2 linked regions of the Caenorhabditis elegans genome follow. The protein of the gene in region 2 purifies or fractionates together with the protein of the main gene of each other region. This does not show direct contact. Each region holds a gene or a part of one and is shown on either strand. Other genes may lie near its edges.

What was found.
Region 1: the proteins of tag-344 (region 2) and pgal-1 fractionate together in Caenorhabditis elegans (co-fractionation; one large-scale study listed by BioGRID). This does not show direct contact.

What each region holds. Positions count from the first base shown.
Region 1 is NC_003279.8:4,902,631-4,914,515, reverse strand, and holds pgal-1 (putative peptidyl-alpha-hydroxyglycine alpha-amidating lyase pgal-1), read right to left. Parts: upstream 7,678-11,885; 5' UTR 7,670-7,677; coding exon 7,523-7,669; intron 4,837-7,522; coding exon 4,332-4,836; intron 3,729-4,331; coding exon 3,647-3,728; intron 3,076-3,646; coding exon 2,757-3,075; 3' UTR 2,687-2,756; downstream 1-2,686. Other genes in the region: F21F3.6 (DUF4149 domain-containing protein), read left to right, coding at 472-606, 1,071-1,259, 1,310-1,570, 2,118-2,237; F21F3.2 (Protein kinase domain-containing protein), read right to left, coding at 9,408-9,602, 9,649-9,778, 9,829-10,025, 10,071-10,267, 10,317-10,638, 10,689-10,949, 11,000-11,020; icmt-1 (Protein-S-isoprenylcysteine O-methyltransferase), read right to left, coding at 11,416-11,624, 11,674-11,875. UniProt on the Caenorhabditis elegans protein: Probable lyase that catalyzes an essential reaction in C-terminal alpha-amidation of peptides. Mediates the dismutation of the unstable peptidyl(2-hydroxyglycine) intermediate to glyoxylate and the corresponding desglycine peptide amide.
Region 2 is NC_003279.8:10,640,915-10,649,164, reverse strand, and holds tag-344 (Protein kinase domain-containing protein), read right to left. Parts: upstream 4,921-8,250; 5' UTR 4,882-4,920; coding exon 4,761-4,881; intron 4,716-4,760; coding exon 4,611-4,715; intron 4,564-4,610; coding exon 4,241-4,563; intron 4,194-4,240; coding exon 3,883-4,193; intron 3,837-3,882; coding exon 3,593-3,836; 3' UTR 3,548-3,592; downstream 1-3,547. Other genes in the region: B0511.11 (DUF7774 domain-containing protein), read left to right, coding at 1-67, 113-217, 265-368, 416-526; fbxa-125 (DUF38 domain-containing protein), read right to left, coding at 1,388-1,591, 1,643-1,960; B0511.17 (DUF4283 domain-containing protein), read right to left, coding at 5,460-5,586, 6,021-6,136; eif-3.E (Eukaryotic translation initiation factor 3 subunit E), read left to right, coding at 6,890-6,979, 7,048-7,323, 7,370-7,846, 7,902-8,250.

The sequences.
Region 1 (11,885 bases), 5.7 Mb from region 2:
CCTTCCACCTTGCACTATTTCACACATTTTCTTCCATACTGCTATCTCTTTTTCTCTCTACCTGTCTGACTTCGCACCTGACTGCCCCGCGCCGTCGCTACCAACACCAATTTCGTTCATCATTTCCTTTCACACACACACACTGTTATCATTTCTAATTTTCCGTTGATTTCGAACTTTGGCGTCCTCTCCCCCTTCACAGATTCGTCTCGTTTTCTCCATTCGCCTGTCCACCGACCTTCTCGTAATTTCCATCATCGCTCATTTTTATTTTACACTTGACATTCTATACCTTTGCCATTGCCATCGTCGTCCTCGTTTTCTCTCTCGGGCCCCTCTTTGTACCAAGTTACAGCATCTTACCCAATACGTTCTCTCATTCCATTCCTATTTGTCACATATTTTTGTATTTGTCTCAAAATAATTTTTTTCTGGATGTTTTTTCTTCTAAAAATCTTTTTTTTTCAGAAAATGAAGGCTGCCGCATTTTCGTCGGCGCGCTACGAGAGCCCGGAGGAAGCGCGCGGAAAGTTCCGTGTCGACGCAATCTGGGACTGCAATGCCCCGAAATATCGCGTCGCGTGTGGACAACTCCATGTCACAAAGGTGAGTTGAACCTGGAGACAGTTGACGTCAATATGAGTGAAATCCTATAAATATTCATTGATTTTGACTCTTGTATTTTTAAATTTTTGAAATGAAAAAAAAAACGGATTTAATAAAGGAAATGCATTGTTTTTGTAAGGATTCCATCGGATTAGTTTATGAAAAAATAATGTAATCAAATCCGAAGAAAAAGGATTATATTAATAATTTTCTGGAATTGGTTTTTAAGAATAAGAACATCAGAATGAAATTTTGTTAGACCCAAAATGACCAAAAACTACCGAAATTCAAAATGAAATGTTCTGAAAATTTCTCCGAAAAAGGTTATGGTTGTTCAAAGTTCAGGGTTAAAAAGAATAGTCTCAGCTTTAAATTCAAAAAATTTCGGTAATCCACCTTTAATAAAAATTGATACGTTATCAGAAAATTAAATAACATACTTAGAAAAATGATCAATCTTCCAGGCAACCAAGTACATTGGAATGACCCAATTATTTGTCATCGCCCTCTTCTCGATCTCACTTCTGTTCGCCTACACATCAGCACTGAAAGTGGAAGACACGACGGAAGGATCGAAAGAATGGTCAATCAACTACTACATGGCCCGTTATGTATCCTCATTGCTCTCAGCTCTCACACTTCAACTCGGACTCGTTAGTTTTTTTTTTTGGTTTTTCAGACTTCTTATAAATTTTATTTTCAGGTTCTCATGATGCTCCACGGAGTTCGTACCAACCGCCGATCCCTTCTCATTCCGTACATCGCATTTGCTGCCATAGCCTTATTCTTGGCAATCTTCCAAATATCACTTGATATCATCAACTTTGTGGATACCAAGTCGTACCAGAATATGAATGGAGAGAATCCAGCTTCAGCCATTCTTATTCATTTCACAGGAGTTCTCGTCCATGTCTGGTGCATGAAGGTTGTCTGCAAGTGCTATTCGTTCTACGGAGACAAGAATGTAAGTTGAATAATTTTGATTTTTCGGAAAATCGAAAATTTTAGTTTTTTTTAAATTTAAAATTTTTCGATTTTCTCTCAAAAACAACGAGAACCGAAAACCGACGTCCCAATATACTATACTGAATATAACTTGTTATATAATATTTCTTAATTTTAGATAATTAAAAAAAATTTCGCCAATCAAAATAAAAAGGGCTGAATTATTTTGGAATTACCGCAAAGAAAACTAAAAATCGTGAAAAACGCGAAAAAAAAAGTTGACTAATTATGTTTCACATTATAAGACAAAAATGAAGCAAACCCAATTTGTCACTCATTTGCGCGGTAATTCGAAAATAAATGAACCTTTTTTGTTTCAAAATTGAAAAAGAATATTAAAAAAATTCAGGAAAATTCTAAAAACATTTTTACAGTTATATTCGGTATTTTTAGCAAAAAAATCTTTAAAAATGTTTCCAAAAAGTCTCAGATTGCAATGTAGCTTTGGAGAAAAATTAGAAAAATTCTCCATTTTTGCACAATAAAATTTCACGATATATTTCCAGGTTGCTGAAGCTATCGGCCAACAACTCCAATCGACATCAGTCGCCTTCGCTGTTGACTTCACTCGTCCACCACCATACACTCGTCTTCCAACCGATGTTCAACCCCTAACTCAAGCTTAAACAGCTCATAATATTTTTGTCATATATCTTATCTGATATAAACCATGACTAGAAAACCCCCCCAAAATTCCCCCCAAACGTTCGACGAGTTGCTCTCCCAATTTTCGTAGTAATCATTCATCTCCAAAAAAAAAAGAATAATTTGAAATACCAAAGTAGATTCCTCACTTCTCAGTCATCTTGTATCCCCCATCGACACACATTTTGTACTACCCACCATGATGTTGCCCCGTTCTCTCCATCCCACACACACACACTTGTCCAAACCCAATGTATATTTCTCGGAATATCCCCGATCTAATTTAATTCCCCTATAGATTCCTGTATCGGGTGATTTGTATCATTCGAAGAAGTTCTCCTTTGTCTCTCTCTCAAAAAACCAATACAAACATCAGCAAAGATGCTAATAAATGTCAATGAAAGGCGAAAAAAGAAACACTCTTGGGAATAACATTAAATAAAAATTCATTTTTCTCTCTTCTTTTGTTTTCAGCGACAACGATGATGACAAAAATTAGATTACAAAAGTCTGATCTCAAGAATTCTGCTTGGCTCCAACTGTGACACGAACATGACTCCGTCGGCAGCAATTGCAAGTGCATGAGTATTACGAACTCCTTTTGCGAATGTCTCAGTCTTTCCAGTTTGCATATCAATTGAGAACATTTGTGCTTCAACGTCTTCACTGTTACCCGTCACACCAATCAGATAGTGCTCACGCTCTCGAATTGCGAACACACGGCCAATGTCGGTGGCCGAAGTTATTGGAATTCCTGTTGGAAGTGTACGATCTCCCTCCGAAAGACCAGCTGAGAAGCATTGAACACGCTGGTTTTCTCTGAAAATTAGTTTTGAGATATTATTTTCAATAAAATTTGCATATTTTCTCATCAAAATGGGTGTACTTATAATAAATTAATAGTTATCTCTTCTTTCGTTTTATTCACTTTTGAAATTGATCTAGAAACGCGCTCCATGGCAAATTAAATTGGCTCCGTCCCTAAACGTTGGGTCTCGTTAGGTTTTTGGCAGCAAATTTTTCGTTTTTTAAAATAATTTGTATGTCGAAATTGATGATATAAAATTCATAATGCTATGTTCAAAAAATTATTTAAAATCATTTCGATTCAATAAAATAATTGAAAAAAAAGCGAAAATGCTTCAAAATTTCCGAAACCAAAGAAACCCGTTTGAATTAACGGGTTTCCTACCAAATACCTAACGAGACCCATGGTTCGGGGGCGGTGCGTTTTCAATTATCCGTGGAGCGCGTTTCCATGTCGAGATCCTTCTGCGTCCCCAGAATAAAGAACGAGTTTATACTAAACTTACGTGCCAATTATGACGCATTGAGTCAGTTTTGAAGACAACAAATTTTACGCGCAAAAGTTCAAGAAATGAAGACTAACCTGTCAGCAACGCAGACAATATTCATATCCTCAATGAGAGACAAAGAGTGTGGAACGACGAATTCAGATGGTTGGTTTTCTTCTGAAAAGAGTTGTTTGATCAAAAATCAATTCAGAAATATTTATATTTTGGATTGGATTATTCATTTGAAATAATGGATTACATGTGCATCAGAATAATGAGATCTTTTCAAGGTTTTGCTCAGCAATTCTTGATCGAAAAGGGATGTTTTAGTCTAATTTGATTAGATTTTGAGCTGAAAGCAGCGTAGGGCTCAATGAGCAACTAGAAAAGCCTTATAGAAAATTAAAAAAGTATAAAAAAATACGGAAACGCGGCCACGGCCATGTGTCGATTTACGCAGGTAGTCAACACCTCGAAATGAATTTGAAAATTTTACAAATTAAATAATTTTTTTCATAAATATGCCAAAACCGTTACGCAAAAAATTCACACTTCTTCTAGAGAAGTACACAAGATGCGTAAATCGACAAATGCGAAGAAGTTGAAAACGGTGGCCTAGAAAAACAAAATAACTCGGCCATGTGTTAAACTTTTTCACAGAAAAAACGTTTTGAAATTTGCGAAAACTATCTTAAATGGAGGTGCAGGTTCTACAGTTTTTTTTTGCTGGAAAAAAAAAACTCAAAAATTTCCAAATATGTTTCTCCCCTTCTCCCTTACCAGTAGCTGCATTGATCTGAGCCATCAGATTTCCCTTGGCGTCAAACTTGAGAATACGGCTGTTACAGTACCCATCGGCCACAAAGATATGACCATTCTTAGCCACTGCCACATCAGTTGGCTTGCAGAAATGAGCTTGATCCTCTCCGGGAACCATTTTCTCACCCAAGCTCATCACTATCTTTTGTGTCTTTGCATCGATTTTATGTACTTGATGACTTCCAACATCAGTCACCCAATAATCACCATTATTGTCAATTGTCAGACCATGTGGCATGTAGAAGAGCCCTGCTCCGAACTCATCAATCACTTTCTTTTCTCTTGAAATAATTGCGATGGTCTTGTTATTAATCACTCCCAAATCCTTATTGAATGTCTCGTGATCATTGAAGCTCTTCTCATCCCAAACACGACCTGATCTATGGAATGCAACGATATGTCCATTTTTGTTCACTGCCAAACCGCTCACTTGACCGATTTCTTTGCTGGGGTTGAATAGTCCAATCTGAAAAATATTATGTTTAGAAAACTGGTGTTAGTCTAGATTTAATGAGGGGTTTTAAATGTTTAAAGTGTGTCGTAAGTTTCAAAATTATCAGTAAAAGCTTTGGAAAATTGCCAACTTTCAAATAATTTCAGACATTTTGAGAAAATTTTGATAGACTTTTTAATGAAATTTATCATACAAATAGTCTGTAAATTATGTGCCAAATTTTGTCAAATTTCTGCCGCTAGGGCCCAGGAGGCTCAGTGAAGATGCGGGAAGAGGTGCTCTTACTAAAAGTGATGCTAGAAGTTTCCAGAAATTTAGTTTCCCCATGCTCACACATAAAATTGAAAGCAAAAGTCATGCTGCTCAAGATCATGAGCGGAACAAGCTTAAGCTCGAAGAACTTTTTGTATTTCCGTTTCTCCTCTTTTTTTCTCAATTTTCTCACCCTCCACCCTTTCAGAACCAATTTCCTTGTTTCCGTTTTCATGAGTAAGAGACAAAGTTGTTATTGCCCCCTGTTCGTGAGTATTCTTCTTTATATTGCTATATAATGCCTGACAGACACACACACACACACACACACACACACACACTCACACACAAAAAACACACACTTTGTGCGACTAATGAGCCTCGAGTTCTGACTCATGAAAGAGCCCCGTGTGAAAGCGGCGGCTCATACATTTTCAACGAACAGGGAGATGAGGATGTGGAGATGACATGAAAATTCGAAATGAGCTCGTTTTTTTGGCTCATCTCAGGAATATTATACTTCCAATCTTCACATCAGCCCACACATGTTTCCGTATTAAATTTCTCTTTTTTGTTTGGTTTTTTAGCAGAAGAAAAAAACAAAATCGGATGGCGTTTTTGCAGATTTTGTACGGAAAATGATGAATTTAGCCACGATGTTAGTATTTACTTTGATGTATAATTTGAAATTTTTCTCATTGGTAGGAAGCATTTTCCGTTTCTATTTTTCAAACTGCCGAGGTTTAGGTCAACTTTTTCAGAGGCGGTGTCCGTGCGAGAAACAGTCGATAATTTTACTTGAAATGTAAAATAGAATAGGCGTCATGTGGAGCACTTGTAAAATTACATTGCCTATTAACTGTAGGCAGGTCGATGCTTACGCATGCGTACCTACCTCATGCCTGCCTAAATTAATAAACTGATGGAATGTATCTATTAAATTTGAAAAGGATGACAGGAAATTTGGCTGTAGTAGGCAAATGTAGTTATGTAGGCGTAGGCGTTAGGAGAACTTCAAATGCCTCAAAATCTTGTCCCCGTTTTCTCCAATTTTTAGTTTTTGATTAGCATCTATGAGATCTTGCAAACAATATTTTAACTGACATTTTTGGGATTCCAAGAAACACTCGTTGCCTCTTTTCTAGTCAAATCTATAGGAGTGTACTCAAGAGAAGAGACACTAGAGAACCAAATGACGTCATTCAACAAAATTGGAAAGAGGAAGAGAGATGTTAAATGGCCGAAGGCAAATTTACATTCATTTGAAAGTTCTCTACCAGACATTTGGAGTTTGGAGAACGGTGGTTTTCTGAAATGCTAGGAAATTCGAGAGCAAAGATGGAAGATTTAAATTATTTATGAAGCCTACGTTTTCAGCATGAAAAAAAGCTATTAATCATTCATTTTGTCTCAAGTATCACTTCTATGACATTCCTTAAAGGAGCATCATCTTTAGGGCGCACTTGACTCACAAACGGCTGCAATGTGAGCATTTTGAATGGTAAGATTTGTGCTGCGTGCAGCATGTGCTTTTTAATGCATATAAACTGCAGGCAGGCACATGTACGCGCCTTCGTATCTATCTCATGCCTGCCTGCCTACGTGCTTTTCAACTGAAGCTTTCGGTGTTTGAAAAAGTGCACATACAATAAATTGAGTAGCTATTAAATTTCAAAAGGATGACAACTGTAATAGGCAGTGCCTACTAGGAACAGGCAACTGGTCTTCAGACATTATGGTCACATCACAAAACTAACTATGTTCAGAATGACAAAGGAAATACTTTCTGTCATAAAAAATAATCTCCGATCATCTTAAAGGTTAAAGTTTACTGGGCTCATGTAAACTCGAGATCTCAGCAAGAAATTGACCTCAAATTCGCTAGGTTCACACTACAATGTATCCTAATTTCGGTTGAAGCCGAAAACAAGAATAATGAGAAATTGGAAAACGAAGCCAGCGAAATATTGAAAAGTGACGAATAGAGAGTAAGTTATTTTTCAACATGAGAAAAGTTCTTTCAAAAACTGTGCAAAGTTTAGAACTTATCAATTAAGATCCGGAAAAAACCCACATTGGGAACACAGTTCAGTTAGTTTATTGAAAATATATACAAAATCTTTTAGCAGAACTTCTGACTTCCAAGAATGCGAAACTTGAACACGGAAGTCTATATAGAAATCGGAAAGTGTGAGTAACTGGCATGCATTCTAAGAAAGTAACACCAGTGAGTTGATACATATACCTAGCCAGGGAATGTCGTGTGCGTGGGTTATCAAAAACGTTAAATGATAGTTGATATCAGTGGCTACAAGAATTTGAATAAGAAAGCTTCTTTCAAAAGAAATATTTAAAAAAAACAGTAAGTCAGAAATTTTCAGACAAACAGTTTCAGCCCTTACCTTTCGAATAAAAAAACTAGCTAAAATAAAAATGAGAAACTAACCAGCTCCCTATCTTGTTCAAATACTGCACTGTTCTCGGCTCCCTCCTCAATTGGCTGTTGTTCATCCCCGTAGAAATATTCAACTGGCAAAGCGGAAATATAAAAGGGCGCGAGAAGCGCGACGAGGCAAGCGGTGGACGCCCGCATCCTAGAATGAGTCGGCTTCACGTCGGCTCTGGGCACCGACGTCTTCTGAATCGATAGACGACGGAGACGCCGACGGTGAAAGAGTTTTGAGAGCAGGGAGGAGCCGGCGCGCGCGGCTCTCTTACGCGACTCGTGGGCTCAAATGGAGCAGCAAAAACAGAGTATCCAAAAAAATTTCAGAGCTTTTTTTTCTTTCTCTGCTATGAGGGAGTAGGGGTTTGTTTTTGAGAGATTAAGCTGTGATAAATTCGTGAAATTAGAGGAGATTCACATTTCAGTTTTGAGAAATTTGTGATCATTGGATTGAACATGACTTGGGAATTAGTTAACTGAAAAGTAAAAGAGAGTGAGGATGTATGAGTTGTAGTAGGTTATAAAATAAATGTACTTATTGTCTAGACAAGGATATGATTCAGGAATTGGATATGGAATTGGGATGATAGAAATGATGAACTCGGCAAGTGATGTTTCTGAAACTGAAGGGAATTCAAATTTTATTAAAAATAAATAAATTTTGGAGAAAAGTTTTACGAATGAACTTTTTTTCATTCCCCGTCCTCTTCTTGCGTACCATTTGCCAAAAATGACTTCATTGGTCTAATTTCTGGAAAAGAATTCCGAAAAAGAATTCAGTAAAATTAATCACTCCCGTTTTTTCTTCTACTGCAATGTTTCCCTAGAACTAGAATTTCTAATTGCGAAAAAATTTGGTGCTTTTCTGAAAATTGTTAAACAGGTGTAATTTTGAAGAAAATGAGTCAGTGCTTGCAGAACTGGGATATGGTAAAATTTCTTGTGGAATGTTGAATGATATCTGATATCTGATAAGCCGATGCATTTTGACTATATTTTCCGTAATTCTGCTTTAAATGAAAACTTTTATTACCTGAAGCATGAGTCATAGCTAAATTTGATTTATTGACCTAGAATATTAATTCACCCACCCCTCAAGAATTTTCCCTTATTCAATAAATCTAATTTTCTATGGCTCTAATTCTTTGAGAGCACAAGCTTTTTCCAACTACGGTAGGCTCAGTCAATGTTCATAGTTTATTGAGTTTTGAAGTTTATTTGAAAAAAGAAAAGAGTTCTCTCTTTTGTTCGGAATAAAGGTTTGGTTTTTGATCGAGAAGTGGCGTAAAAAAGACAACTTTTTCCTCTTTCCTAGAAGCTATAGAGTTCACAAATGGTTGAGTAACGAAGTAAAGATTATTTTTAATTGTCGTTGACTTTGGAAGAATAAAGGAAAACTGCACCTGTTCAAGTCACGATCAAAGTATATCCTGAAATATATTTTTAAAATTTGAATTATTTAAAACTTGTTTAGCGGAATTAAAGTTTTCTATGGAAGTTCGCTTGTTAATCAACTATTTGCAGAATCTTCTTGGAACTTCATAAAAGCGTTCAAGTTTCTCTGCTCATCTAAGAAGTTGGATCAATAGAGGTATCAAAAGAAGTATAGCATAAAAAGCCAAGAGAATTCTCAATTTTAAAGCTTCATAGAGCTAGTAAGACTAATTCAAAATAGATGTTTGAAGAGGTACATAAGAAATCAGCAGGAGGTGAATATTTCATAAGGATTATTCAACGTTATAGTTCTCTCACTGTCAGTTCAAAAATGTCTACCGTCTGCTAGTTAGATACTATAAAACTTCGAACGGAACAGTTTGCCATTGCAGTTCACAACTCTCGCTATTCTTTATTTCCTAAAAAACTCTACACTAAATATCAAGTAGTACTATTCTGGTTTCTGACGGGGCGGTGGTGCGTTCATCACCGACTTCATTGTCGATTTCTTGGCGATTGCCGCGGTCTTGTTGGACTCGGAACGCTTGCCAGGAGCCGAAGGAGCCTCTCCACTAGAAGGTGCAACACGTCGATCGTCAGAGCTGTCCTCTTTCGACTTGTTGTCACGAGCCATCTTCTGCTCTTTCTGTAATAATTTTTAGATTAGATGGTCGTTTATATTGAATGCTAACCGGGATAAGAGTTGATCTTCTCGCATAAACATTCTCATATGAGTTGCTCTTCTCACAATACGGAATCCCAAGATCCTTGTTGTCCGTCTTGACCAATTGCGCGAGACGGCATGCGGAGGATTCTTCGTTTCTGAAAGTAAGATAAATGTTCACTATAATACTTTTCTCAGGTACACATACTCAGCAGCTCGCTTGTAATCAGCAGCAGTTATGACGTCAGAAATCTTCTGTCCGTTGTGACGAACTGCTCCAGCTTTGAAGAGCGGACGGAAGAAGTCGTCCTGAAGCAATTGTTTGCCACGAAGACGTTTCTCGGGAGCATACACCAGGATTCTCTTGATGAACTGTAGCTGATCAGGTGAGATATCGTTCACAAGCTACAAAAATATTCAATTATTCCTAATTGTGAATAATGCTCGTACTCTTTGAAGTCCGAATCCTTTCGTAAACTTCCAATACTCTTTCTCCAATTTTTCTCCCTTCATCGCACTAATGTCTTGCTCATTTGGGGCACCAAAGCAGCGGCAGTAGAGTTTCAACTGATGAGCACTATCTCTTCCCGGGAAAACCACATGACGCTTCACCATCTCTGCCATGATACATCCGGCAGACCATACATCTGGAATTCATAAAACAGTTTGCATTAAACTGAGGAAATGTCAACTAACCAACTGTGGAATTGTATTCCATTGCTTTCATCAACAATTCGGGCGGTCTGTAGAAGCGTGTGACCTGATAGAAGTTGTTTGCCTTCCCCTTCACGATGATCTTTGCTGACCCGAAGTCACTGATCTTCAGGAATGCGGTGTCATGATCAACCAGAATGTTCACCGGCTTCAGGTCTCGATGGACAACCTTGTGTTCCTCCAGGTATTTCAATCCGGAGAATATTTGCCACGTGTAAAGGCGAATGTCGAGGTCCGTGAGCTTCTGGCGAATCACTTCGGCCAAGGTGTTTGGCATAAAGTCGAAGACGTAGGATTCACAAACCTGGAAATTCAGGAGTTCCTTGAATTCTACGAAAGTGCTTTGTGGCAAACCTTTGTGTCATAACTGTGGCTAAACGCAAAAATCATATGAATCACGTTCTTGTGTTTAGCCCGTTCGCGACCCGTCAAGAAGATGAACTCGAAATTGCGTTCTCCCTTTTCCGGCCAACTTTTCTTGATGGCGATCTTCTTCTCATATGGCTCTCGGAGTATTCCTTTGTAGACATTGCTGAAGACGCCACACGAGTGAAGATGTACTTCTTCGATTTTCAGCATGACTTTTTTATTGTCAGCTGGCATTTCATAAGCTTCCTGAAAGAGTCAGCGTTGAACGTGCTAAGCTTTGAAAAAAGTTGACTTACCTGCTCAACTGTAACACTCATCTTCTTCTTTTATCCGCTTCAGCTTTTCTTTACAACAATCAGGGAATAAATCAAATAGTGATTTTCTTTGAACTTTTTGAACAACATTTTTTCTTTTCGTAAATTAGAATAGCACGCCTTGATCAATATGGTAATTCTTTATATTGTCACGCAAGAACAAGTATTTTTCAAATTAAGCAGAAGGGCTAGAACAGAAATTGATATGGGAAATAATGCGTAACTATTTGTTTTTCCATATTGACTATTGATTGCAAAAGTTGAAAACTAATTCCAGTTTCCAAAATTCAAATCCTTAAACTTGAAAAATAATCAGAACTACAAGTTTGCGGTTATTAACCTTTATTAGATTTTTCTAGCAAGAATAAAACAAGACGAATTATTATTATTTTATCAATTTATGGCTTCTGATATCCACGAGCAAATGGAACTCCAGACCAAGTTTTGCGTTGATACTCGGCATAATCATCACCAAAGAATGAAATCAAATCCTTCTCTTCAATTTCGATTCGGTTGGCGAAGAAACGCCACGTGACAAAAGTGTAGATAACAAAGGAAATTGGATTACAGAGAACAATTTGAGTCGAGACAGCCCAAATGAACCAACCTGAAAAATAAAAGTATTTATATTTCTAAAAAATTCCAAAATCACCAACCAAAATATCCAGGATGGCGCATGTACGCGTAGATCCCGGTATTGATAAGAGTGTGGCCTGATCTTTTGGTCCTTGCCATAAGATGAGTGAATGCCAATCCAGCATGAACCATACCGACTTTTCTGACAATCTCTCCAATGATACAACCGAATGTTCCAATCCAGAGAACCGAATACATCTTGATTTCGGGGTAGAAGTTGGCCTGGAACGAC
Region 2 (8,250 bases):
GCAATGATGAAAGAGTTCTTGGTGTCACCCCAATATCTTCCAAAAACATGGACTGCAAAATTCAATGGTATGCTTTTTTCTTGAGCTCAAAGCCCCAATCAATGTTTTACAGAATGGAAATCTGAAGCCGAAAAGCAAAAGAATGGAATCAACTGGTTCCGTGTTTTCTTCTCGTATCCAAAGCACAAATCATTTGAAGATGGACCAGAAGACACTTGTAAGCTTTAATTTCAACAGATTTAGACAAATATCAATCGTTTTCAGTTGGAAATTTCCGCCGTAGAAATCGTGGTATTCTGATGGGACTTATTCTGGGACCCGGAGATGTAAAATCATTTGAAGAGACAAAAAGAGAGGATGATTGTCAGGTAAAGTAGGAAAATGGATTTTCTAGAAACAAAAAATTATATTTTAGGGAATGTTTCTGGATACTAAAATAATGGAAAAGGCAACTGCAGAAAAGGATAATGGATCGACAATCAGTGAACATCGCACTTTGAATACTACTAAAAGCTCAAAGAAATAACACTAGAAACACTTTATCCAATAAATCATTTCCTGAATTTTTTTTTTGACTATAGTTGATTTTCAGATTTTAATGTTTCCAGAGTGACCTGAATAATCTACTTGGTAGATGGTAGAGATTCTGGGTTCACCAATTTCCTTGCACGTCTCCAAACATGCACTTTTGTTGTATTTTTCAGAATGCTCCGAAGAATCTATCAGTGAAATTCGTCCAATTTCCCCCAAATCCGGCACCAAGCCAAATTGCAAGATCCTACTCACGTCGCAAGAGCGTCACCGATTTGGAGACCGCGAAAAATTGTGTGAGCTCTGAAATTGAGAGCATTGCCGATAAGGTGAGGCAGCTGTCACTGATCAATGATTCGATGGCAAGGGGGACCGAGCAGATTGCAAAGGTCAATGTGATGCAGGAAGGTATAAGGCAGGCACGTCGGCAAGACATCACAACTCCAGGATTCACGAACAGTGGACCATCACCTCCAACCACAACAAATGTCAATTTTGAACAGGAAGAAAGAAACGGGTAAAACTTTTTTCACCAAATGGCAGATGGTTCTGCCATCGTCCAAGTTTTGTGTACTCTAATCGGTCTACAAAACAAAAGGAAGGGCAAAAAAAATAAATATGCAGATGATAGTGGAAACTTTTGTCACGAACTGGCCGGAGGGCCCAGAAATTATTCTGAAAACCTTATTCCAACGGCGCGCACCTTTGCAACATTATCAAATCTTTACCTAAATAATGTATAACACACATGTACTCTCCAAGATAATTACCATCTTAGGAGTTAATCAAAAAAAAATCTGATCACTTCATTTTGAAAATACACAATTCAAACACAAGACAGTTCTAGTAGTGGGAATTAATTTTTCTTCTTGAAACGGAGAACTTTTTGGTTGCTCGAAAATGTGAAATCTGCAAAATCCGTGTTTCGCACCAAATTGGAAAGATTCCTTTTTCGATGAACTTTGGCTGCTTTCGGATCAAAAACTCGAATAACATTGACGTCCAAGACACTTTTCGAGGTGAAATATGCATGCTTGATGTTACTAGAAGTCAACAAAATCTGAAATAATATTAAAGTGAAATTCAGCGAAACTAGACTTATCAAACTAACATCCTTGATTTCAATAGCTGTTTCCACCGAAATTGTTGCATAATCGACGCAAACAAGTGAGAAATGAAGGAGATCCTTGATTCGAATATTACTCAAACCACGAAATCCGCTAATATTTTTTGCATTTTTCCACTGATCAGAGTTGACAATTGTTTCCATATCTTCAGCCGTCGGTTTTCCACAATAGTATAAATCCAGATTTTCCAGCTTTCCAGCCTGGAAGCTCGGAAGAATTTGAGCAATTTGAGAAGATGGAAGTCCACAAGTAGAAATGTTTTTCACATCCGGATATATCGACGAGCTTAGCATTTCTGCCATAACTCGAACACTTCTTGAAACCCAATCATCGCATTCTTCAATACGACACAGTCATTTGATTCTTGCTGATAGTGAACTTCATACTGTTTGCGCTTCTCCTTGAATTCATGAAAATACGTGACCTTCACTTCTTTACTGTCACTATCAGAAATGGACACACGGATTTGTGAAATTGCAGGATCCATTTGATCAATGAACTGGCGGAGAGTTTGATTGCTTTTTCGTACGCGAAATCTAAAAAAATCATAATAATTATTTCAATACTCATTGTTTTGTAATTCACCTCTCGTGTAAATCCAGTTTTCCAATAATTTTTTGGTAGAGTTCCACCGGTAAATCAAGAAATCCTTTTGGCCTGAAATTTGAAAAAAATTATTTTTCGATAACCTTTTAATTCAATTTACTCTTGTTCAGATGTTCCGCCGATTACTCCTCCAACGATGATCTTGCTTTGGCCTGCCATATTGAAGTTGTCTGAAATATTTAATTATTTCTAAAGAAAAACCTTCAATCAAAGCGAAAAATTTGGATAACAGAAAGAAAAACAAATTGAAAAAAGGAAATGTACATATTTTCGGTTCGAAACTTTCAAAAAGTGTAATTTTCTATTTAAATTCAGCTCAAAATCATGATTAGACAAAACTCTAAAACATTAATGATAAAGTTACAAACTTTATGGCCAAAACTCACTTTAAAAGCTTTTCAAGAAGAAAAGCTGTGTATCGCAGACTGGAGATATCGAGAAATAAATTTAATTTGCGAAAAAAACCGAGGCAGTACAGCTTAAACGAGGGAGAATATAGGGTCACGAATAAAATAATGAACTTTGGCAATTTTTCCCCAACTATTTTCAAATTGTTCCCGTGAACTTTTTTTAAAATTTATATTTATGGAATTATCTCATTTTTGAATTTAATTTAATTTTCATTTTTTTAAGGCTTAGAAATAGTCATTTCCGAAGCCTGAATATACAAATGCTCCTCAAAATTGCATTTAAAAAATTACTTTTGCAAAGTAAGGGGATATAAATAATACATAAGTAACCTATTTTAATTTAACAAAACATCTGTTTATTGTATGTACAACCAAGAATTAACTCACCTCCAGCTGCAATAATACCTATTTTACAAGTATTTTTAGAATTTTGGACTTTTCAGTCATCCTCTAATGAAATCAATTTATAAGTAAATCGAGGTTATCTAATTCCAACCGTTTTCATGAAAATTAATATAATTACTACAGTGTCAACTAAATTTTTCAATTTGGTGAGCAGTTCGGCCATCTTCATTGTCATCTAGAAAATGTTGAAGTATGCTTTTACTAGACTTACGCCTAAGCCTAAGTCTAAGCCTAATCCTAAATAGAATTCTAAGCTGAAGCCTAAGCCTAATAGTAAGCCTAAACACAAGTCTCAGCACAGCTCCCTTGCGTCACTTCCACTGTCTGAAATGTATCTGAAATGTGTTTCCGATTAATATCGAATGGAAATGTTCAATTGAAGAGGTTGTGTACTTTTCTTGATACACTGCAAAGGCATGAAATCGCTTTATGACAGACAAACTACAATCTTGTTTTAAAAGAATAAATCTACTAAAATGCTTTATTCACTGTCACAATAAGTTCACATGCCGTTCATCCTTGCTGTCTCTTGACTTCTTTCGGTTTTCCTGAGACAGGAACAATCGGAGTTGCAGGTGACACAATTCGAGTTGCCAATACTTTTGGTGGCTCATTGGGTTTCATGTAGTACGGTTGAGTACGGAGCCATTCAGATTCACAAATTGCTTTGTAGGTCGGACGGTTCGGTGCATGTGGCTGGAGAATCTCAAGGACCAGAGCCTTCGAAAAGACCGATGATGTGCAACTTTTCGGGAATCTGAAATGAGAAATTTAACTTGAGTTGTCTTTTAAAAAAAAACTACTTAATTTTATGTGCCAACTGTCTCTCGATCATTTTCCTTGGGTCACGATCATCAAATGGCATTGATCCAGCCAGCATTATGTAGAGAATGACCCCAGTACTCCATACGTCAACTGCATTTCCAGAATATTCTCTGCCACGAAAAATTTCTGGAGCCACATATGCTCGCGATCCACAGAATGTTCCAGATTTTTCACCCGGTTTCAGAATTCTCGAGAATCCGAAGTCGCCGAGCTTCACATTTCCATGTTTATCCATAAAGATATTTTCGCATTTGAGATCCCGATGCACAATGTTATAGGATTGCAGATGCTGAATTTATAAATTTAAGAAAAACAGTTTTCTGATATAAAACTTACAGTAAGTGCTGCAATAAGTTGACGAAATGTGAACTTTGCATCTTCCTCTTTCATTGCCACGATATCCTTCATTTTACGGAGCAAATCTCCTCCAGCACAGTACTCATTGACGAAGATGATGTGATCTTGAAATGAAATCATCTCGTACAAACGACAAATATTATCGTGTTTCAAGAGCTTGACAATCTCTTTTTCACGTGGCAAAAACTTTTTGATGTAGTCCTCTTTTTCACGAGTTGGCGTAATGTTGATGATTTTCGCTGCAACTTCGAGCTTTTTCTCTCCGAAAGTTGCGCGTGCCACACGGGAATAGGAGCCACTACCTGTAAATTAATGAATTATAAATTGGAATTAATTTCCAAATGATTACCGAGAACTTTCTCAAATTTGAGCTTCCAGACCTTCTCGAGTGTTGGAGCAAAAGCTTTCGTTTTTGGACTCAGTTCATCAGGTTCTTCTTGGTTCTCAGAAACATCTGAAAATTAGTTATTTTCTCTGAAAATCTGCATAAAATTCTTACCTGTATTGTTTTCCGTTGCCATTTCAACAATTTGCCAGAGAAATATGAATTCAAAATACTGCGAAATTGGTCGATTTTGGTTCGATGAATATTGATTAATAGATTTTTCTTCTCGATTCATCAGTTCATCAAGACATTTTCACGTTTCACGAAAGGTCACTTTTTTTTCGATTTTTCCTTGATTTCTCCGTAAATTTTCTTTGTTGAAAATGTTTAATTAACATTTTATCGGGAAATAAAAATGTTCGCTACTAACTATTTGCTTTCTGGCGCCTGTTACACACCTCATAACATGCCTAATTCCTATAATCTGGATTCGATAATATTATAGGTTTCTTTAAAATGAAGTCTTTGAAAAAGCATGGATTAGAATGAAAATATAAATAATATGATAATTTGAGAGTAATTGAATAACATATACATTTATAAAACAGAGGGTAAAATGGAGTAGTGCTAGTGGGGGACATTTTTAAAAATTCGAAAAGACCCAAATATCAAAATATAACATTCCAACTTGAAAAAAAAACTGTTTGCACCCAAAAAGTTAAGATTTGGCAGCTGGAAATCTACCAAAACAGTTTTGAACAAATTTTAGCGGTTATTTGAAAATTGAGATCTAAAAATTGTTTGCCTTTTTTATTTTGATATCTTGGTCAATTTCAGTGTATTCTGACATAACAGCAACTGGCTTAAATTGAATTAATAGTTATCGTTTTTCCATACAACAAAATCAAGGCATTCTTCGATAAAATTGACGGTTGCAATTTGTCCATCGTCGCTCTCAATATCCCATCCAAGTGTACAATCCAATTCGTCTATTTTGTATCTGAATGTTATTATTTTTCAAATAAAATAATTTAGCTTTTTTCCTTTAATCTCTACAGTAGATAGGTAGCAAGAATTTCTTCAATTAGTATGGCACCCCATCGTTCACGGTTGAGAGCTTATATCTCGGTTGTTTTCAAAAATAATTAACTGATGAAATATTTGGTAGTTCTTTTTATATCGTTTTGTAGTTAATAGTTTTATGATATCTTTGAAATGAACCGAGATATAACCTTTCAAAGTAAAGTAGTCTGTTGAACTAATAGAGGAAATACGGTATGTCAAGATCTTTAGAAACAATATGTGTAACCAAGACCCACAAGTCAAACTATATAGTCAGGTTTTGTTTCAACTGGGTGGCACACTACCCTCAAGAATCAGGGCTCTTCATGTAGCCCACTCGCCAGCTCTACGACAAATAATTTATATTCTCACTTGAACACTTTTGGTCTTCGCTTTCCATTCCACGGTCTGTGAATAATTCGATGCATTACTCCTTCATAGTTTTGAGGTCCATATGAATTGAATCGTATTCTTCGTAGATTCGGCATTCCTCCTGACATCAAATACCCGAATTTAATGTTGATCAAACCGAAATGGGGCAACCTGACACCACATGAATTTACGGTCTCGTCTGTTCCCAAAAATTAATAATAAAGCATTCTAAATTTTACTGTTCGCTTTTCTGTGCATTTCAAAATTTGAAATTTCATAAAACTTGTGTCTCTGACACATCGGTAAAATTTGGCACACTATTATTGAGATCGTTGCGGGACCCACTCGAAAAATTAATATGTGATTTTAAACTGACATTTCACAATTACAATATTTAAGCATTGCTTTAAAGCCACACAATGTTTTTCGGGGTGGGTCTCGATACGGGCTCGGGTCTTAATATCTTGTAACTCTTCCTAATCCCAGGAACATTATGATTCGTTCGTAATTTCTCAATTTGAATATTTTAAATTAAAAAACTTTTAACTGAAATTTTAGAACCAAAAAACTCCGAAATATTTTTCAAATGTCGCAAATTGCAGTTTTCGGTTATTCTTCTCGTAGTTCTACTTCTCGCAGTTCTCATTTCGCTGGTGGCTCGTGTTGGCAGGCAGTAGCAACGACACTCCGATATTCCATAGCGCGCGTTGTTTATCATTTCCTCCTTTCCCGGCGAATTTCTCCTAATTTCTCGATTTTCTTTCTGCAATTTCATTGTTTTTGTTTTATTTATGTTTTCCGTTAAGAAAATTGATTGGAGTTTTATTAGAACATATTACTATACTAATACGCTTATTTTACAGGTAAAAATGTCGACATTCGACCTGACTCAGCGCATGGCGCCTTTTCTCGATCTTCATTTGATCATTCCGCTCTTGGAGTTCATCGAACCACGAGGAGTAAGATTTAAACAATAAATTGTTGATTCTGAAATAGCTGAATTTATTTATATCAATGATAATTGCAGATTTACGATGAGAAATCCCTGACCGAAATGCACCGCCAGCTTTTGACCAAGACCAATATGATTGATAGTGTTATAGAGACCTACAATGGAAAACCTATTCCGGCTGCAATTGAGGCTAAGAAGAAGCAAATTATCAAGGAGAGAGATGAGCTGAAAAGCAAGGTGGACTCCGTTGTTGCCATTTTGGAAATACCGGAAGTCAAGGAAATGATGGATAACAACAGAGAAAGAGATGGAAATGTCCGTATTTTGGAGCATCTCACTCAAAACCACAATGTACGTTTTTGCTTTGCAGTTTCGAAAATAATCTTAATTCTTGCAGTTCACAGTAGACATGGTCGATACCCTCTTCAAGTACAGCAAGTTCATGTACGAATGCGGAAATTACACCGTCGCATCCGTGTGCCTTTACTACTACCGCAACCTTGTCAATCAAGCGGATCCAAACTATTTGAACGCTCTTTACGGAAAGTTGGCCAGTGAAATTCTGCTCCAAGAATGGGAACATGCTCGTGACGATTTGCTGAAACTTCGTGCTTACATCGATGCTAATCCATTCGACACGGAATGGGAACTTGTTACGCAACGTGCGTGGCTTATGCACTGGGCACTTTTCGTCTACTACAATTATCCAAAAGGGCGTGATGAGATTATCGAAATGTTCTTGAACCAGCAACCTTATTTGAATGCAATCCAAGTTTTGGCGCCACATTTGCTCCGCTATCTGGCTGTTGCCGTTGTTACCAGCAAAAGCCGCCAGAAGAACAGCTTGAAAGATTTGGTGAAGGTCATTGACATCGTGAGTTTAACTATTTTCTATATGAAAATATGATTAATTATTTGTTTTTCTACAGGAACGCCATAGTTACAAGGATCCCGTCACTGATTTCCTCACCTGTCTCTACATCAAATATGATTTCGACGAGGCTCAAGAGATGCTTCAAAAGTGCGAAGAGGTTCTCTCCAATGATTTCTTCCTGACTGCTGTCCTTGGAGATTTCCGCGAGTCTGCACGCCTTCTCATTTTCGAGATGTTCTGCCGCATTCATCAGTGCATTACCATAGAAATGCTAGCACGACGATTGAATATGAGCCAAGAGGAAGCTGAACGCTGGATTGTTGACTTGATCAGAACGTATCGTATCGAAGGAGCTAAAATTGACAGCAAGTTGGGACAAGTGGTGATGGGTGTCAAATCCGTCA